Linked DNA regions of Arabidopsis thaliana. The protein of the gene in region 2 interacts with the protein of the main gene of each other region in a pairwise test. Each region holds a gene or a part of one and is shown on either strand. Other genes may lie near its edges.

The links.
Region 1: the proteins of AGL6 (region 2) and AGL97 interact in a two-hybrid assay, tested with the Arabidopsis thaliana proteins (one large-scale study listed by BioGRID).
Region 3: the proteins of AGL6 (region 2) and AGL53 interact in a two-hybrid assay, tested with the Arabidopsis thaliana proteins (one large-scale study listed by BioGRID).

Annotation. Positions count from the first base shown.
Region 1 is NC_003070.9:17,231,597-17,237,053, reverse strand, and holds AGL97 (AGAMOUS-like 97), read left to right. Parts: upstream 1-4,102; 5' UTR 4,103-4,118; coding exon 4,119-4,919; downstream 4,920-5,457. Other genes in the region: WOX4 (WUSCHEL related homeobox 4), read left to right, coding at 1-151. UniProt on the Arabidopsis thaliana protein: Putative transcription factor.
Region 2 is NC_003071.7:18,800,544-18,809,229, reverse strand, and holds AGL6 (AGAMOUS-like 6), read right to left. Parts: upstream 5,041-8,686; 5' UTR 4,778-5,040; coding exon 4,596-4,777; intron 4,096-4,595; coding exon 4,017-4,095; intron 3,887-4,016; coding exon 3,825-3,886; intron 3,705-3,824; coding exon 3,605-3,704; intron 3,532-3,604; coding exon 3,490-3,531; intron 3,413-3,489; coding exon 3,371-3,412; intron 3,278-3,370; coding exon 3,123-3,277; intron 3,036-3,122; coding exon 2,939-3,035; 3' UTR 2,644-2,938; downstream 1-2,643. Other genes in the region: AGL20 (AGAMOUS-like 20), read left to right, coding at 221-302, 494-555, 663-762, 866-907, 1,030-1,071, 1,297-1,431; SAP18 (SIN3 associated polypeptide P18), read left to right, coding at 7,907-8,017, 8,132-8,164, 8,277-8,387, 8,630-8,686. UniProt on the Arabidopsis thaliana protein: Probable transcription factor. Forms a heterodimer via the K-box domain with AG, that could be involved in genes regulation during floral meristem development.
Region 3 is NC_003076.8:9,523,498-9,529,142, reverse strand, and holds AGL53 (AGAMOUS-like 53), read right to left. Parts: upstream 1,403-5,645; coding exon 539-1,402; downstream 1-538. Other genes in the region: AT5G27065 (uncharacterized protein), read right to left, coding at 4,441-4,476, 4,539-4,814; RLP53 (receptor like protein 53), read left to right, coding at 3,733-5,645. UniProt on the Arabidopsis thaliana protein: Probable transcription factor that may function in the maintenance of the proper function of the central cell in pollen tube attraction.

The DNA.
Region 1 (5,457 bases), on a different chromosome or scaffold from region 2:
GTACAAGAGGACATGTAGGAGCTGGGGATTTGAGAACTTGGAGATAGAGAACAGGAGAAACAAAAATAGTAGTACTATGGCAACTACTTTTAATAAAATCATTGACAATGTAACCCTCGAGCTTTTTCCTCTCCATCCTGAAGGGAGATGAAGTCATGAAGGTGAGGCAGAAAATTGTGGAATTCTTATGTAGATCTGGTTTAGGTTCAGAGGAATCAATTGGTATCTAGAAATTCAAAATAAAAATAAAAATAGGAATAAGTCTCTAAAACTACAAAATCTACTTAAGAATTCCCTTATTAATCTGCGAGTTTGATGTATCCTATGTAGATTATTTTTGCGATGTAATCTTAATTATGAATGCTCAGTTTAGCTCATCTTTTTTTCGCGTTTATTCTTGACAAATTCACTAGTGATCAGTTGTACTCTCTTCTGATTTGGCCATCTAAGTATTTCTCTAGATCGTTGGTATGTAGGAATGTTTCATTTAGAGAAATTTCTGAATAAAGACACATTTGATGTTGTTAAAATAATATCTCTGTCTTAATTCCTACGTACGTACAAGAGCAAGAAGTTAAAAGGAAATAATAATAGCATTTCCCGTTGAAAAGGGGGTAGACCTAGTATATTTCTATATAAACAAACATTGAAATCTAAAACTTTTTGTACTGTTATATACTTATATTAAAACTCTTAGTAAAACAGGTGACTCAATAATATTTATATTAATTTTTTATTTTTGATAAATATATACTAAATAAGTTTATGAGATGATAACAAGAAGAATCTTTTCAAGAATTTGATATTTCCAATGGAATGTGTACAAAGACATCAATATATGTAAGCTGTGGTGTGTATGTGGTTAGTTGTTTGTCTGATGCTTTATTGACTCTCGCAAGTGGTTGTTTTGTATTTTGGTTGAAACAAAGAGAGAGTTTTGCTTTTTAGGTTAAAAGTTGAAATGGCATTATATGAGACACACTCACTGAAGTCCATGCACTCGCTTTCCCGCTACATTGCATGCTAGCTAGCTGTTTCTATACATACGCAGATATATGTAGCTCTTCTATATTTTCGCACTTAATTATTGTAAGTGACATTCTTCTTTTCATTTTGGTTATATGCCGATAATTTTGTTTTATTTTCTGATAGCTAACTTCTACTTGGTTGTTAATTATATACCAATTTTCCTTCTTTTTTTCTTTTAAATGTTGATGCAACGTAAAACAAAACTGTATATTTCTACAGTGATTTTAAATAAACGCTAAACTTAAAATAATCTTTTTTGGTAAAGGGTTTAAGATAAATTATAACTTTGTTGGACATCAATTAAACATATATAGAAGTACTCTAAGTTTCTTTATGTTTAGATTATGATTTCTAATTGAAACAAACACATTTCCAGCTAAGTTTATCTTTAATAACCAAACTACCTAATATTTTAAGTCTATCTTTACCGGTAATCATATTCTCAAATGATTATTTGCCATGCATTATGAATTGGTTGCCCGTGGGCGTGGGGCATGGCGTTCCATTACTTATAATCTTGGAGGGAAGCAAGATTGAAATTTAGAAATAAAGAACTTTATTCAATTGGTAATGGGACCATGACTATTTTTTCAATAATTCAATGTTTCTTGGTTTTCACGTGTACATATATATAAGTCCAAAATAATTTCAAACACATAGTATTCAAATAGTATTAGGCCTATCGAAACCGGTTTTGGCCAGGCCGGTCAGCTTGCTACATGTATGGGTTAGCAAACAACGGGCTTCGTGGGCTCTACGACGGCAATGTGTTGGAATTGTATCCTTGATTGAATCTGAAAAAGAAGAAGAAGAATCCATGAGAAGAAGAAGATGAAGAACAGAGGAAGAAGAAGATGATGTCGTGAAGAGAAGAGTCAAAGGAAGAGAAGAAAGTCAACAAACATATGGGCTTTGTGTTTTGTAATATGGTTGTAATGGGCTGAAGATGAATTAGGCCCAAGTATGTTTAGTTAAAGAGTGTTGTGTTGTAAGTCTAAGTTAGAGTAGAAGAGTGAATCAAGGAGTGAGAGTTCCAATGTATGTAGAAGTAGGTCTTGTGTAAGAGCCATCATTAGGTCTAAGTGCAAGTGTGCAAGTGTGTGTGTGTCTCAAGTAGAAGTAGTTTATGTATGTGTGTCCTTGTGTTGTGTAAGAGTAACCAAGTAATTAACAATGTAGTCTTTGGAGGAAAACGCTTTTGTGTCTCTCTAGAACAAAGAATAAAATCTGTGTGAGAGACAAGAGAGCAAGAGATCTAACTAAAGTGGTTAGATATGTGAGAATTACAACACAATGTCATATATGTATACATCAGAATATTAAACCTACAAAACAAAAGTAGCTCTGGAAATCTCAATAATGTAGTCTCTTAGAAGGATCCACAAAGGCCACAGAGAAGAAAACATAATGCTTAATAACAAAGATGAACAATGTGGATTTTGCCAGAATATTTATGGCTGTGAGCTTGTTTCTTCAAGAAGTCTCTACCTTTTAACTTCTCAAAAATCAAGTTTCTTAAACAAGTCTTCAATGCTGAGGATGTCACAGAAGAAGTCTTCAACAAACCTGTAGCCATGTTTTGATCACAGAAGAATCAGTACTTATATGTTTCTAATTGATACAAGATTCTTCTCCAGCAAAACCCTGATTTCTTCTTCCAAATCTCACTTGTTCTTCTTTCAGAATCTTCCATACGAATCTTTGATTCTGTTGTAATTCTCACAATCTCTCTATTTCTCACACTCCTTTACGGTTTCATTGTCTTTAGAGAGAAAGAACAAAAACTATTTTCTTTTAATCTTCTACTTTGATAATATTCTTGGATACTCTTACACAACACAAACAACACATACATATAGTGGTTTTGCTCCACTTGGTAGACTACACACACTTAGACTCTAGACCACATCATTGTCCTAAGACTTACATCATCCACTCTACTATGTTGGAACTCCAACACCTTAATTCACTCTCTTAGTTTACTTTAGTTGTCACAACCTCTTCTTGTTGGACCTTAACTAGACAACTTGTACAAAACACTTATTCGTATGGGCCTTATCTCATTACCTATGACCCAACACACAAAACACAAACCCATTTGGTTTGTTGACTTTCTTCTCTTCCTTTGACTCCTCTCTTCACGACGTCTCTTCTCCGCCATCGTCTTCTTCTTCCGTTGCTTCTTCCTTTGTTCTTCATCTTCTTCTTCTCACCAAGCTTGTTATTCTTGTAGGATTTAGTTTAGGATACTCAATTCCAACAGATTCTCGTAATCTCCATATCTAGATCCTCTTCCGAATCCGTAATCACCAATTCACCATTATCAACCAAAAGCTTGAGTTTTTGTTGTGTATCGGACATTGATTCACCAGCATAAAACAGAGATTCCATACTAGGGTTTGAGATTGTATTCTTCAATACTGTGTCGTCTTCTTCTTCCTCACAAAGTTTGCAATTTTGGTTTTTGGATTCGTAACGGTCACAAAGAGAAGAAGAGAGGCTCCTAAATATTTTGTTGTATTGACGCTTTTACCCTTCATAACGGTCTTATTTTATTGACCGTTGACCAAACCGGTTAAAGGAAGAATTTGCATGTTGGTTTACTCGTCCTCCTTCGCTTATTAGACAATCAGTAGTAAACAAATTCACCGACTAAACCAAAAATTCCACTAAATACAGATTCGGTTTAACTAAACCGGTCTTTGTTTGTATTAGATGGTTTTGAGTAATTTACTTTTAGAAAAGGAAACAGTTTTAATTTTTCGTTTAATTACCGATTAGGGTATTATCAGTAAAAAAGGAAATCAAAATCGATGTTGTTTCAGGTGGTTTTGTGTACTAATTACTTTCAAAAAAGGAAAACAAGTTTATTTAGTCGTTTAATTACTGATTAGCAATTATCAGAAAAAGGAAATAACATGGATTAATTAGAAAACGAGTTAGGGCTACTAAGTCTATATATATATCTATCTGATTAGAACGAGAGTGAGTCCATTATCATATTCTTCTTTCGCAACAAGCGGCAGCACACAAAACTCTCAAGTCTTGTCTCGTTCTCTTTTGTTTGTGAAACTGAGAAAAAAAACAGAATGGGTGGCGTGAAGAGGAAGATTGCTATAGAGAAGATACAGAACAAAAATCCACGAGCGGTTTCATTCTCCAAACGTCGTAAGGGTCTGTATAGCAAAGCTTCTGAACTTTGTCTTCTCTCGGACGCAGAGATTGCGATCATAGCGACTCCTGTTTCTTCTAATTCCAACGCCGCTTTCTACAGTTTTGGCCACTCCTCTGTTGATAATGTCGTCGCTGCTTTTCTCGCCAATCAGCGTCCTTGTGATGAAAGGTTTTGGTGGGAAGATGAGAGTCTTCTAAAATCAGAGAATCTGGAGGAGTTGAGAGAGGCGATGGATTCAATGTCGACTATGTTGCGAGATCTCAAGGAGTTGGAGAAGCAAAGAGATCATCAAACGCAAACCCTAATTCATCAGCCGTGTTCTGCAAGGGTTTGCATTCAAGATTATGTAACTGTGAATTTCGATGGGTTTAACACGGAAGAGCAAACCCTAGCGGTTTCTGACAATAGTAACAACAACGGTTTACTTGGAAACTTGGATGAGTGCAATGAAGATTTTGATGATCTCGATCAAATCTTCGATACGGTGACAAACTCTGAATTTTTATCGGTGAATTTGGAGATGGATGATGTAACTGTGAATTCTGAAGGGAACACGGAAGAGCAAACCCTAGCGGTTTCTGACAATAGCAACAACAACGGTTTACTTGGAAACTTGGATGAGTGCAATGAAGATTTTGATGATCTCGATCAAATCATTGAGTATTTGACAAGCTCTGAAGCTTTATCCATGAATTTAAAGATGGATGATGTCTGATGCATGCCTCTATGGTGACAATTTGTGTTTATGTTGAAATTGGATCCTTGATTTAAGTATTGCTTCGGTTTAGTATATCTTTGTATGTCTTTTATCAGCTTATGACTTTATTTGATCTGCGTGATATTTTCGTATATCTAACCAAAACATAAGAGCATCCCCAACCACAATACACCAAATTTTAACACCAAATTTGATATTTTGGTGTTTCAATTGTTTTATCATCTCCAACCATAACACCAATTTCACACTAAAAATATTACTTTTTATTATAATATTATTAAACTTAAGATTTTCTTTATTTTTTTAATAGTTTGATATACATAACATATTTCATAACTAAATTATTTTAACTTAATTAATATAAGATTACAATCGATAAATTGAAAATAACAAAAAAAAATTACATTGTACTAATTCTCAGAATTAGTATATACGGACCACAAGTGTTCAATTAATGCATTTCGAAGTTTAATATGAGCTTCACGGTCTTTGATTTTCCTGTGTCGAGCTAAAAATTCTTGAAATCGACCATCAT
Region 2 (8,686 bases):
GAAAGTACTTCTTTCTCTCGAACCTACTAAATATAAAGATAAGACCTCACATGTTTTTGATTTTCTAAAATAGGGGGAAAAAGTACAAGACTTTTCAAGCTATGTCCTTGATTAAGTCTAGTGATATCTTCAATAAGAAATGTTTTGAGAACACCATTGGGATCTAAATTTGATCTCTGATGATTTACTTTAATGTTCCAATTATATATGTTTTTGACAGTATGCAAGATACCATAGATCGTTATCTGAGGCATACTAAGGATCGAGTCAGCACCAAACCGGTTTCTGAAGAAAATATGCAGGTTTATTCTTTATGATCTTCTTGCCTATATATCAATTCTTGCTAATTAATACTTTTACTATATAATATCAAAGAGCGGTAATGAATATAACCACAATATGTATATAATCTCAAGGTCACAGGATCAAGTCACATATTTATAATTAGGATATATATGTACATGCAATAACATTTCTGTGATATAACCAACAGCATTTGAAATATGAAGCAGCAAACATGATGAAGAAAATTGAACAACTCGAAGCTTCTAAACGGTTTGTGATATATACATATATACAAACACATTATTCATCACTTGTATATATCTATTTCATGATGCATAGGAGAGTTTGATCAATTAGTGTTTTGTTTTTGTAATCAGTAAACTCTTGGGAGAAGGCATAGGAACATGCTCAATCGAGGAGCTGCAACAGATTGAGCAACAGCTTGAGAAAAGTGTCAAATGTATTCGAGCAAGAAAGGTATGTGTATATATTTATCTGTTATATCTCCACATTATAAGTATTGTTCGAATCATCTTCTGAAACCACTCATAATTATAACTCAATTTCTCATCTCTTTTAGACTCAAGTGTTTAAGGAACAAATTGAGCAGCTCAAGCAAAAGGTAAAGTAGTTTTTATGAGTGTATATAAACAGATATAAGTATGTATGCAAATTGTGTAATATTCCAAGTAAGTAAGCCTCTTGTGCTTGCTTTTTACAAATTGGAATCTAAAACTTTTGCAGGAGAAAGCTCTAGCTGCAGAAAACGAGAAGCTCTCTGAAAAGGTATAATATATTCTTATGGGTCTCAAGTTAGGGTTGCACATTCGTTTTTTTATTCGGTAAAGATAAGAAAGTTGGGGTTCTTTTTGGGGGTTATTAGGTTAGGAGAGTCCTTACTAGTTTTTCTTGGTTATCTTCAATCATCAACCTTCTTTAATTTATGTATTGTTCTATATATCTTCTAATTTGCATCTATTAATTTTGTGTAATAATTCTATTTGAATGCAGTGGGGATCTCATGAAAGCGAAGTTTGGTCAAATAAGAATCAAGAAAGTACTGGAAGAGGTGATGAAGAGAGTAGCCCAAGTTCTGAAGTAGAGACGCAATTGTTCATTGGGTTACCTTGTTCTTCAAGAAAGTGATCTCCACTCAACAAAAAAAACAAAAAAACAAACTAAGTAAAAACAGGTTTAGCAGTACTGAGAGTGTATAAGGACAAGTAACAAAACTCTAAAGCTGCTTCTCTCTTGTTGTCTTATTTCTCTCTCACTCTCTCTCTCTCAGTCACTTCTTTAATGATTCTGAACTGCTTGTGTTATGTATCTATGTTCTTACACTTGCCTCTCTAGAATGTAATTTTGATTATGTTTTGTTTTCATGTATCAATTTAGCTTTCTTCCCTCAAAATCATAAAATCAGGAATATCTGTACTATATAACTTACTGGTTTCTCAAGTCGAGAGACTAGAGGTCTAGAACTTCCCAAACTGGTAAAAAAATATAAAGAAAATTATGAGAGCACATTAAACATTATCCATTGGCCAAAAATCAATAACTGCATCATTTCAGATGAAGAGCTGATACACGACAACGGTGGCAACTCTACAATACAAAGATCGGTCTAGTAGCATGTGTGACTGTCTTGGAAGAAGTTGCGTCCCCCCCAAGCAAGTTCAAAAGATCACCGGGAGAGGAGATTTAGGGCATAAATCCAAATGTTGTAGAGGCTTTTAGCCCATCAAAGAAAAAAAAAACATTATACGCATAATCCAATATTTCAAATCGTTTAGAATCTTTAGATAATAGAGATACATGATTGTGATATGACATGTGCCGTTAACATTTATATGGGCCCATGAATTTATTTTGTAATGGCCCACTTATAAAAGGGCCTACTTTGCGATAACAGCCCATAAATATAAGAGAGTATTAAAAACTTAAATTCTAGTATGTAAAAAAAAAAAAAAAACCTCAATAAATATGAAGACTTTATGGAAAAGACATATATCAACAACAGTAAAGTTTGCTAAAGAAAGAGGAGCTCTTCTCTTCCAAAAGTCAAATCAAGAAACAGCAATGTGGGTCCTACCTGGCTTCATATCATTGCGCTTTTTCCAAGGTCAACTACGTGGCATTTTATTATTCGTTCATTTTTTTAGTTACAGGTTGATTTCATTTACTCACCCAATTGTTTCGGAAGTTCATTACTCCTACTTGCGTAGTTGAGCTGAATCCTCCTTTGATTATTCGTCACCCAATTGATTCGACGTCGCACGATTTATTATTTGTTCCTACTATTCACAATTCAGCATTCATAAATATATGTCTGAGATTTAATAGTATTCATGCCAAATAAATCTATTCATTTAATTGATTTTAGAACAATTATTAAAGTTTATTTCATTTGGAAAATGTTGGTAAAACCAAAACAAAAATAATGTTTTAGATCAAGTAGGAGTAAGAGGAGAAATTCTTCAAAGCACATACATGCGAATATAGATTCACACGAGCTGGAAATTAAATGACAAACATCTAGTGCAAAAGTTTTTCTTATAGGAAAAAAAAACCCAGAAATCTAATTTGAAAAAAGAACAACTGTAGAGAGCTGAAATTGGCCTGACCGTGGCATCGTGGTCTAATCAACAGAGAGTCAAAGAACCCAACCTTGGACGAAATTAGTCTCACCTGCCACGTTACTCTTTGATACCGAAGACCCTTCACCTTGCACGTAGTAATGTTGTTGAAACCTAATCCAAATACCAAACAAGTCTTATAATCATATCTTATTTCTATCCATTTATTTGTAAGGGCCGGGAAAAATGGTATATTCTTACCCTATTTGTAAAAAGGGTTCGGTGTTGCAATCCAATACATTAGGATGAGAAGGCTCTACCGGAAATTCAGAATTGTTTGGATCCCCGGCCACCGATGCCGCCGAGTTTGCCCATAAGTCTTGAAAGGTTTTGAAAGCATGGCCTTCCGTTTCAAACTATTGAAAATTTATGTTTAGTTAAGATCCAAATGTCATAATTAATTATATGAGAAGTTATAATATAATTTTGCGATGTCTAGAAATAAAAACCTTAATCTTGAGTTGTTTGTTTATGTCTCCTAGTTGCCTCTCCTGCCATTTCAAACATAGATTGATTGATATGCATATATGTTTTGCAGTTTGGTATGAAACATTTTTATATAACTTGCCTTTTTCCTAAGGTCTTCCATTTCTTCCATCATAACTTGTGTCTGCATATTTTAGTTGAATGTTTTAGTTATGAATATATTTTTAATGAAACAAGACCAGTCTAGATCATGTGACCTTGCGCTGTCGAGTCGCGGTAAGAGCGGCTTCGAGCTGCCTCTCGAGCGCTTGCAGTTCCTTCACACCCATTTCTCCAAGATCTTCTCCAAGCAAATTCCTTTTATAATTAGCAATTATCAACACCCATAACAATAGATTTGTAACTATACATATATAATGGAAGATGACAATAACGATTTAATTTCAAGGGGTTATAGAAAACTCTTAATTACTAGACCTGTTAGTACGAACAAGAGATTCGTATTTGGATTTAAGCTTTGTCACCTCCTGACACCAACTCTGCACCATATAGATTATATGAAATGCATATATATAGTAACATGAGAATTTGAGAAAATAGAGTTAGCTAGAATCATTATCATCAGAAACAATAATTGTAAATATATTCAAAGTACGTACACACACTTGCCTGTGTAGTCTCTTCAGGCTTATTATTGCTTAGAGAGCAGTTGTAACAACGATTATACCGTTCGATTGTGCTTTCAATTCTACAAATTCAATTAAAACAAAAATGGGAGATCATTAGCTCGATTCAACAAATAAAGATTCTTCTTACGACAAGAACTCAAGTTATATATCTTACACACTGATCTAAAAGGGAAAACCCTAGTTTGTTTGTTTTTTTTTTTTTTAAAGCTAGAATTAAACCCATTTGAAACCTGTCATCTGTAAGATTAAAGAATCAAAGGAATTCATGAATGGGAAATCAACAAATTATAACGTACGGAAGGACCTATTAGCTTATGATAAAGGATCCAAGAGGGAGACACGATATAACGATGAACCCTAATTACCACAGGATAAACGATACAACCATTAAGAATAACCACAAGATCAAAACATGATCCGACTCTTGAATCGTACGATGTAACAAGTAGCAAATGAACCCATTTATTAATCAATTTTCATATAAAAAACATAGCTTTATTGGATGAATCTTAATATATATAGCACAAAAGTTGGTTCAAAGGAGCAAAGATATATATACCCAACACTACCAAACTCGTAGAGCTTGCCACGGCTTGAGAAGATGATGAGAGCAACTTCGGCATCGCAAAGAACAGAAAGCTCATAAGCTTTCTTCAGCAAACCGTTTCTTCTTTTTGAGAAGGTCACTTGTCTATTAATCTTGTTCTCTATCCTCTTCATCTCCACTCTCCCTCTTCCCATCTTTCTCTCTCCTTCTCTTGATTCTGATTTCTTCTTCTTCTCAAGAATTGGTAACTTTTTTTCAAGAATAGATAAAAGGAATAAAGTATCGTACACGATAAATGTGTTGCTATATATATAAACTTGTATTACTTTCAATTCTTCTTGTTACAGGTTAATATGGTGCGTTATTACATAAATCCTTTTTAATTAATTATTAGTCGTCCTAAGTATGTGAAAGTGGCACCAACAAATGAGATATTTGTTGTTGAAGAAATTAAATATAAATATCGTCATATATTTGATGGAACAAAATGATAACTCTGTCTTCATCGTTATAGCTAGATTCCTAAAAATGGAAATCTACTTGTAACAGTCGGACCATTGAAAATTCCTTTTATTTTCTCTTTTTAATTATTAGGACTCTTTTCTTTTCTTTTTTGCTTTTTTTACATAGAGCGCGATGTTTCAAATTCAAACTAACTCATTTTGTTTCCAAATGTTATGGCTCATGTTCTTCTATAACTAGTTATTGTACCCTTTTCAAGCTATCCTAGCGTGTTCTTTTATTTGATGCTGCGCCAGCGGCAATAGCGGACTGAAACGACGTGTCATGAGAAGTAGTAGGTAAGTAAAACGACATTAAAGCTTGAAAATAACAATTTCGGATGAGTCGCCGATGATAGCCGATGAATTGCAATTGCATCAAATGAATCGCTGAAATTAAGCAGCGTCACGTCAATCTTCATCATCGTACATCTTTTGCGGCAGTTCTTCTCTAATCAATGTATTTTTTCTCGCCGCAGATCTGTTTTTCTTCTTTGTTGTCGCTGACGCTGCGTTCATTAAAAGAACACGCTAAATTAAATAGAAAATTTGGTTTTCTAATGCGGTGAAGGATTGATATATTATACTCGCAACCATGTATCTTGATTGAACCGTGATTCAATATGTTTGGTTAAAATGTCTACTTGATCTAAAATCGGACGAAGTAAACTACGTGCGAAATTAATGCTGATTGGTTTTACAAATTTGTGAACTTTTATTTGGTCAATGAAAAGGGGCAGAAAATTCATCATTGTTTTGAAGCTCTCGCAGAGCTGGTTAAATATAGTAAGATGTTGGGTTAGGTAAAATTGTCTTTAAAAATGTTTACCTCTGAAAATGATTGAAAAATGAGATATTTTCCTATATATATATATATATATGTATGTATTATTTACTTACAGTTTGATACATATATATGTATTCATTCATATATATATATGCAATCATTTACTTACAGTTTAATTGCTAATATCTGAATGATTATTTTTAATCAATTTTTTGATGTTTTTGTCCCTTGTTGTATCTGCATCATTTGATATGTTGACGATTCTTTCAACGTTATTCATCAAAACGGTAACTAATTAATTTTAGGTTTTAAACTTGGAAGTTAAATAGGGGACATTTCACTTTTTCTACAAATTTTTTCGACAGTTCAATGGAAAACGTCAAGTTAATTTTCGGCTAATGAGATATTGAAGCTCAATGGAGTTAATTAACAGATCATAAATGAAACACGTGTAAGGGAATCTGCTACTCTTTTGTATTGTAGGCCTTAACTTTTTTTATCGATCAGTCGGCGTGTCAGTGTCTTGTGGTCTTAAGGAAAAATATCCGAACCTCATCATCTCCACGAGTTAAATAGTATATATCCTTCTTCTTCGTACGAGGTTAAGACAACTAAAATCTTAAAAAATAAATTAAATACTTAAAATCAATGAATCGTTTCATATATATACATATATATATATATAATATTTATGTGCTTCGATTAATTAGTACATGTAACTATTTTACGAACGTTTAGTTATCGCCCATTTGCACATAAGTTTACAAACAAACATAGAATCATCACATTATATATTGTGCAAAATTCAAATACAAGATGATAAATCTTTACATCTTCAACTACAAACACGATATATGATATCAAGTTATCAACCAATCAAGAGCTGTAATCTAGTAGTTTTTTATTTTTTGTTAAAAAGTTGTAATCTAGTAGTTTCATTTTCATCTATCTTTTTACATTATAGAAAAATGAAAGTATAGAAAAATGAAAGCTTATCAAAAGTTAGTGGGCTACATCTACATTATATTAAAAAAATATATATATATATATATATATATATATATATATATATATATATCAATAACTAGATCGGACAGTGACCAAACCAATCTCGTTGTGTCCAATCCAAGAAAATAACAAAGGAAAGTCGTACGTTTGATGATATAAAAACCTTTTTATGTTTGGACGAGTTTCATAGAACATGGTGGACAAAATTATAGTACTATATACTATTTAGTATCTCCTTTTGAAAAACAGTAAGCCATGTAAATGAATTTGTACAATTAACAGCTATTTAAAAAGCAAAAAAAAAAACAGTGAATGTTTATTTACAAAGTTCCGAAGGGAAGAGGTTGTGGTAGTGGTTAGGGGCATGCCAAATACGGAAAGGGAGGCAAAGAAGATCGGGTAGTCTTCATAATTTCATACTTTTCACTTTGTAGTAATCTTTCCTTTTCTTTTTTAATTTCATCACCAATGTTTCTTTGTTCAAATTCATATCCACACACTCTTTTGGAAATGGCACTGCAGCTTCATGTGAGGTGTGGGGTCATTGCGCCTTATCGTCTGAAAATGTTACCCTCTTGACATTCAATGACCCCATTTTCTTATTTTCCATAATTTCTTTTACCATTTTACTATAACAAGAATGATGCAAAAGGAATAGGCAAAAAACAGCATATTATTTTTTAGTGGGATCCTAGTAGGTCACTTGAAGTCTCTATGCATTGATTATGGATTGCTATATTTGTCTCTCTTTTTATTTTTGAATTTCGAGTTAGTGATCTTCAATGTGTGTTTCAAATATAGATATTCAAAGGTTATAAACCAAGAAAAGAAAAAGTAGAAAAAAAATATATATATTTCAAATCTTTTAAACGGACCATTGGCAACAAAATCTATAAACGAGTTAGGCCCAAATTGTTGTACAAAAGGCCCATTAGGTTAAATAAGTATGGGCCTAAAGCGGTCCGATCAATCTCTGTGCCATTACCTTCTTCTTCGTCGTAGTGATTTCTCTCGAGAGAAAAAGAGAGATGGCTGAAGCAGCGAGAAGACAAGGTGGTGGGAGACCATTACCGCCACCTCCGAGAGGCGTTAACCAACAACCTCCTCGCCCTAAACCTGAACCTGTCGATCGTGAAAAGGTTTGTGTTCGATTTCATTATTCGCGAATCGTTGAATCATCATCCTTTAGGGTTTCCTTTTAGGGTTTTTATCTGTACTTATTGATTTCTTTATCTTTAACCTTCGAATCGCAGACATGTCCCCTTCTTCTTCGTGTTTTCACCAAGGTACTCTTCTTCACTGATTTTACTGAATGCAAGTTTAATCACTGGAGAACTGGCTATGTTTGTTTCTGAATTAGTCTGCAAATTAGGATTAATTGGGTAGGTTTGATTGCAGAGTGGTGGTCATCATACTAGTGAAGATTATGCTGTGAGAGGCAAAGAACCAAAGGATGAAGTTCAAATCTACACTTGGAAAGATGCCAGTCTTCGCGAGCTAACAGATTTGGTATGTCTTCTACCATTAAGATTTAGATTGGGTGCTTGAGACAACAATAAAGCAGCTTGCTTTGAGAACTTTTCTTGTGTAGTTTTGTTTTTACAAATATGACGGATTTTCAGCTAAAGGACTCACTTTGTTTTTACTGCTGAGGAGTGCTGATTAAAATTCACATTTTTGGGGGTTTTGTGTAACGTACAAAGGTGATGCTTCTCTCATAAGCACAATGTTAAATCACGTTTTCATTGCAGGTTAAAGAAGTTTCTGTAGCAGCTAGGAGAAGGAATGCTAGATTGTCTTTTGCGTTT
Region 3 (5,645 bases), on a different chromosome or scaffold from region 2:
GTACCCTTTATTGCAATACTCAAATCTTCAAGAATCGGGTAAAACGAGATAAGCAACTGTATAGCTTCATTATTGGCGTATATACGTAGACAAAACTCACTTAGGCATTGTAATCTGCAAATTCATTGGCATCAAATATCCAACAAAGCCAGAGTTTTTCCACCTCTTGGACAAAACACTACTTTTAACAACATTTTTTGTTGGAAGCTGTCACCAAAGCATCTGACTCATCAAAGTTGGCTTCTCTGCATAAATTATCGACATCTAACCTTCAATATCTATTGTATATTAAAAATCTGAACATAGCAGGTTTTCAAACTCAAATATAAGACTCAGACAATTATAGAAGAAGCCAAGACTGTTTTTAGAAACTTGAGAAAATAGCATTCATACTTGGGAAAACATACAATTCAATACAAACTCGTAATCAGGCACAAGAAGAGACAGTTAAACTCATAATCTAAATGAAGAATACATATATAATAGATCATTATAAAACGTACACCAAGTCAAAGATCAGTTTTTGGAACAACAAGAACTAATTATAAGGGAACATCATTGGATCTGCAAACGACGGTGCTTGATTCCATGCCGCAAACTGATCAAAGGGGACAAGTGGGGTTTGTGTCTGCATCTGAGGAGGAAAAACCATGGGAGGAAGATCAAAGTTACTTCCTAGACCAGATCCTTGTTCCCCAAGTAAAGCCGATTGGTCAAAGCTAGAAACTGAGTCAGGGACTTGATAGAAGCTACGGTTGTCATGGTTATAGAGAAAGACTGAAATTCTGCTCTGATTTTGACTCAATGATGACGTCGATAGGTCTTGCTCTGTGTTTGACACACCACTCATCAATGGTTCTGTCCATTGTTGATGACGATGATCCTCAATTAGCGAAGGAGGAGGAGACAATGGATTCGTTGTGGAAGAAACCGCACGGGTCTGACCAAACTCGGTCTGGTTTTTCTCGGGTTGGAGTAACAGAAGCTTATCTTGTAGTACTCGTAGACCACTTTCTAACGAATCCTCCATCTCTAAGACTTTCTCCGACAATTTAGTGTCGTCGAGGATCTTCTTACGTAGAAACAGAGAAAGGTTGGTTCTTTTCTTGCATCGCTCTCTCTCGTGTAATCTGCTAAACCTCTCAGCCATGTCTCGAACTTTTGATTGATCCTCCGGCCATGTCTTGATGAGTTTTCCGTCACGACCATAGTATATGACACAGACATCGATGTTGCACAGAGTTGAAAGCTCCAAGGCTTTCTTGAACATGGTCTGTTCTCTCATAGACAAATTCGTGGTCTTTTTTGCAGTAGAAGAAGAAGACAGGGACGATTTCTTGAAACAAGTTTGGTTTCTCACAGACAATTTGGTTTTCTTCTTCGTCGACATTGAAGAATCCATTGTTGTTGTTTACCCACAGAAAAAGAAGAAGAAGATACCTAGTTTCTTATCAGAGAGAAACCTAGAAAATAAACTTAGTGTAACTAACACACGGTTCAGGGTTATATAGAATTGTGAAATTCTTGTATTTCCATATAATATTTGATATTGATTTTACTAAACCAAGAGAGACAAATTGAGCTGTGGGTTTTATTTCCTTTTTCTTTAGAGTATCTTTTCTTCGTTAAATGATGATGATTTACTTCTATTAATCTAACCGTTGTGATATTTAAGTAATGAAATTCCCTTTTTGTTTGCTGTCTATGAGATAAATCTTAATTAGATACGATTTTCCTTTACCAATATCAATGTAACCGTTGTAGATACGATCTTAGATACGATTTCCCACATCCAGTATCTTATTATATAAAGTATAGTTTTTAAAGTTACTAACTCATAAGATTGTGGCACGTGTCAAGTCTAATAATGAGAAGTTTATATGTGTCATTAAAGATTTAACTTTTTAATTTTCTTAAAAAAATAGAAAACCTTAAAAAGAAAAATTTACATATATTAATTTCTTATTATATAAAGTACAGTTTTCAAAATTACTACCTCATAAGATTGTGGCACGTGTCAAATCTAACATTGAGATGTTTACATGTGTCATTAAAGATTTAACTTTTTAATTCTCTTAAAAAAATAAAAAACCTTAAAAAGAAAAATTTACATATATTAATTTATATATATCTAACAATATTTAAACTTTATTTTTCTTAACAAAAAAGAAAATTAACAAATTTGAAAACACATATATTATTGGTCAATTAAATAAATAATCATGTATTAATTTAAAAGAAAAATCATTAAGTATGAATAATAACTAATTAAAAAGACCACTTAAGTTTAAAATAACAATATAATTTATTTAAAATTAATTTAATTGGATAAAATTGTGTTTATCATTGTAATATAGTGTTTTCATTTGTTAAATTTTGAACACAAAAATATTTTTAAAATTTAGTGACCTTATTATAATAAATTTTTAAATATTTAAGATTTATTCTAAGAATTTTAACGTATTCGGTGATTGAGCAACTTGGATCCTTTGATATGTCACTAAAAGCTTATAACTATGTTTTATTGTAAAAAATTTAACGCATGTAGTCATAAGTTAAAACACAAGATTTTTGGAGAGAACAACTTATATGATTTACTTTTCAATTACTTAAAAAGAAGTTAGTATATTTTTTAATTAATTTTAACTCATTTAAAATAAGTTTACATAAGAGAAAATTACGCCATATATAAAGAAACATTTTAAAAAGTTTTGCTTTTCAAATATTTTTGTGGATTTTTTTTTTGTTAAGTTTTGTTTACTGTTTATTATTTTTTTAATATCAACAAAGATATATATTAGATCTGATATAAATATATTTTTTTAATAAAAAAAAATTCACTTAAGATGAAGTGTTTAGAATGAAAATCGAGTATATTATGATGAAATAGATACTTAAATTGTATTGCAAAATTGAATGTGTAAGATAGAAATTTGTAGGTTATTATTTAGAATTCAAATATCATCAATAAGCTTGAATGTGTAGAATTAAAATGTATGATAAAAGAGAATGTATAAGCATCAAATTTTGTTAAATAAAAAAATATTAAATTAATTGTCAAAAAAAATATAAATTACTATTTTATTATTCAACATTTGAATACTGTCAATAAAGATTTACATCTAAATCACACACCCGCCTATTTAGGCGGCCTTATTAGTTTTTTATAAAATAGTCCCAAATTTTAGTTTTAAGTAAACACAAAGAGGAATATTTATACTCTTCCGAGTTCGCTGACATATGGTAAAATGGGCCTTCGTTTTCTTTTATCCGCCTTCATTGTTGGGCCCTAGCCCAGTTGTTTTTTTTGCGCAAAATTAATACATCGATGGGGATTGACTCTTGACGCTGTCGATCATCACTATTCACTAGCACTAGTAACAATGAACAAGTCATTGCTTACCTGCAGAATTCATTTTCCACGATCAATTTAATTTGGCTGGACAAAATACAACGTTTTTTTTTCATGTTCCCTGTACGTAACTAAAAAGTAAGACAAAAGGAGTGGAAATGGACATTATTCAACGTAAAGACTTTTTAAGTCGTTGCGTTTAACGTGAAAAACGCCTCGGAGGGTCAAGCTGTGTTGGAATTATCTTTGTGGAATAGAGTCTATTATTTTTGTATATAAAGAGATGGGCATGAAAACATGTTACGTACCATCACAATTTCCAGATTTTATTTTTTTGCTTTTTCACTATCAATATTCAAGAAAATTAAATTAGCTTAAGAATGATGGAAGGCTTTTGGAACTCAAAGAGTATCATTCGTATTACTCTCTCTTTTATTTTCTTATTCATTTGTCATTTTCTGGACGTGCTTGCGGCTCCAACTAGGAACTTGTGTCGTCCCGAACAAAGGGATGCACTCCTCGCGTTCAAAAACGAGTTTGAGATTGGGAAGCCTTCTCCTGATCATTGTAAGATTTATGGCATTGAATCTCCTCGGAAGACGGACTCATGGGGGAATAACAGCGACTGTTGTAATTGGGAGGGAGTCACGTGCAATGCCAAGTCCGGGGAAGTGATCGAGCTAGACCTAAGCTGCAGCTCTCTCCATGGCCGGTTTCATTCCAACAGCAGTATTCGAAACCTTCATTTCCTAACCACTCTAGACCTTTCATTTAATGATTTTAAAGGTCAAATCACGTCATCAATTGAAAATCTTTCTCATCTCACCTATCTCGACCTTTCTTCTAATCATTTTTCGGGTCAGATTCTGAATTCAATCGGAAACCTTTCTCGTCTCACCTATCTCAACCTTTTTGATAATCAATTTTCGGGTCAGGCTCCATCATCAATTTGTAATCTTTCTCATCTCACTTTTCTAGATCTTTCTTATAATCGGTTTTTTGGTCAGTTTCCGTCTTCTATCGGAGGTCTTTCTCATCTCACCACTCTCAGCCTTTTCAGTAACAAATTTTCGGGTCAGATTCCATCTTCAATTGGAAATCTTTCTAATCTCACCACTCTCGACCTTTCTAATAACAATTTTTCGGGTCAGATTCCATCTTTTATTGGAAACCTTTCTCAACTTACCTTTCTCGGCCTCTTTAGTAACAATTTCGTTGGTGAAATCCCATCTTCTTTTGGCAATCTAAACCAGCTGACCCGCTTATATGTTGATGACAATAAGCTCAGCGGAAACTTTCCCAATGTCCTACTGAACTTGACAGGGTTGTCACTTTTATCACTCTCCAACAATAAGTTCACAGGCACGCTTCCTCCTAATATCACTTCACTATCCAACTTGATGGATTTTGATGCAAGTGACAACGCCTTCACCGGAACGTTCCCTTCTTTTCTCTTCACCATTCCTTCTTTGACTTACATTCGTTTGAATGGTAACCAACTCAAAGGCACTCTTGAGTTTGGAAATATATCTTCACCATCTAACCTATATGAGTTAGACATTGGCAACAACAACTTCATAGGACCAATCCCTAGTTCCATTTCCAAATTAGTCAAACTTTTCCGACTTGACATTTCCCATTTAAACACCCAAGGCCCAGTTGACTTTAGTATCTTCTCCCATCTCAAGTCACTCCTAGATCTAAACATATCCCATTTGAACACCACCACTAGGATCGACTTGAACTATTTCTTATCATATTTCAAAAGGCTCCTTTTATTGGATCTCTCAGGCAACCATGTTTCGGCCACAAACAAAAGTTCAGTTTCAGATCCTCCTTCGCAATTGATACAATCTTTGTACTTGTCAGGGTGCGGTATCACTGAATTTCCAGAGTTCGTAAGAACCCAACACGAATTGGGGTTTCTAGACATTTCCAACAACAAAATCAAAGGTCAAGTTCCTGACTGGTTATGGAGGCTACCAATCTTGTACTACGTGAATCTTTCCAACAACACTTTAATCGGTTTCCAAAGACCATCGAAACCTGAACCATCTCTGCTGTACTTGCTTGGCTCCAACAATAACTTCATAGGCAAGATTCCTTCTTTCATATGCGGGTTGCGTTCTCTAAACACACTCGATTTATCTGACAACAACTTTAATGGTTCAATCCCTCGTTGCATGGGACATCTCAAGAGTACTCTTTCAGTTCTAAACCTTCGTCAGAATCATCTTAGCGGAGGTCTTCCAAAGCAAATATTTGAAATACTGAGGTCTCTTGATGTCGGCCA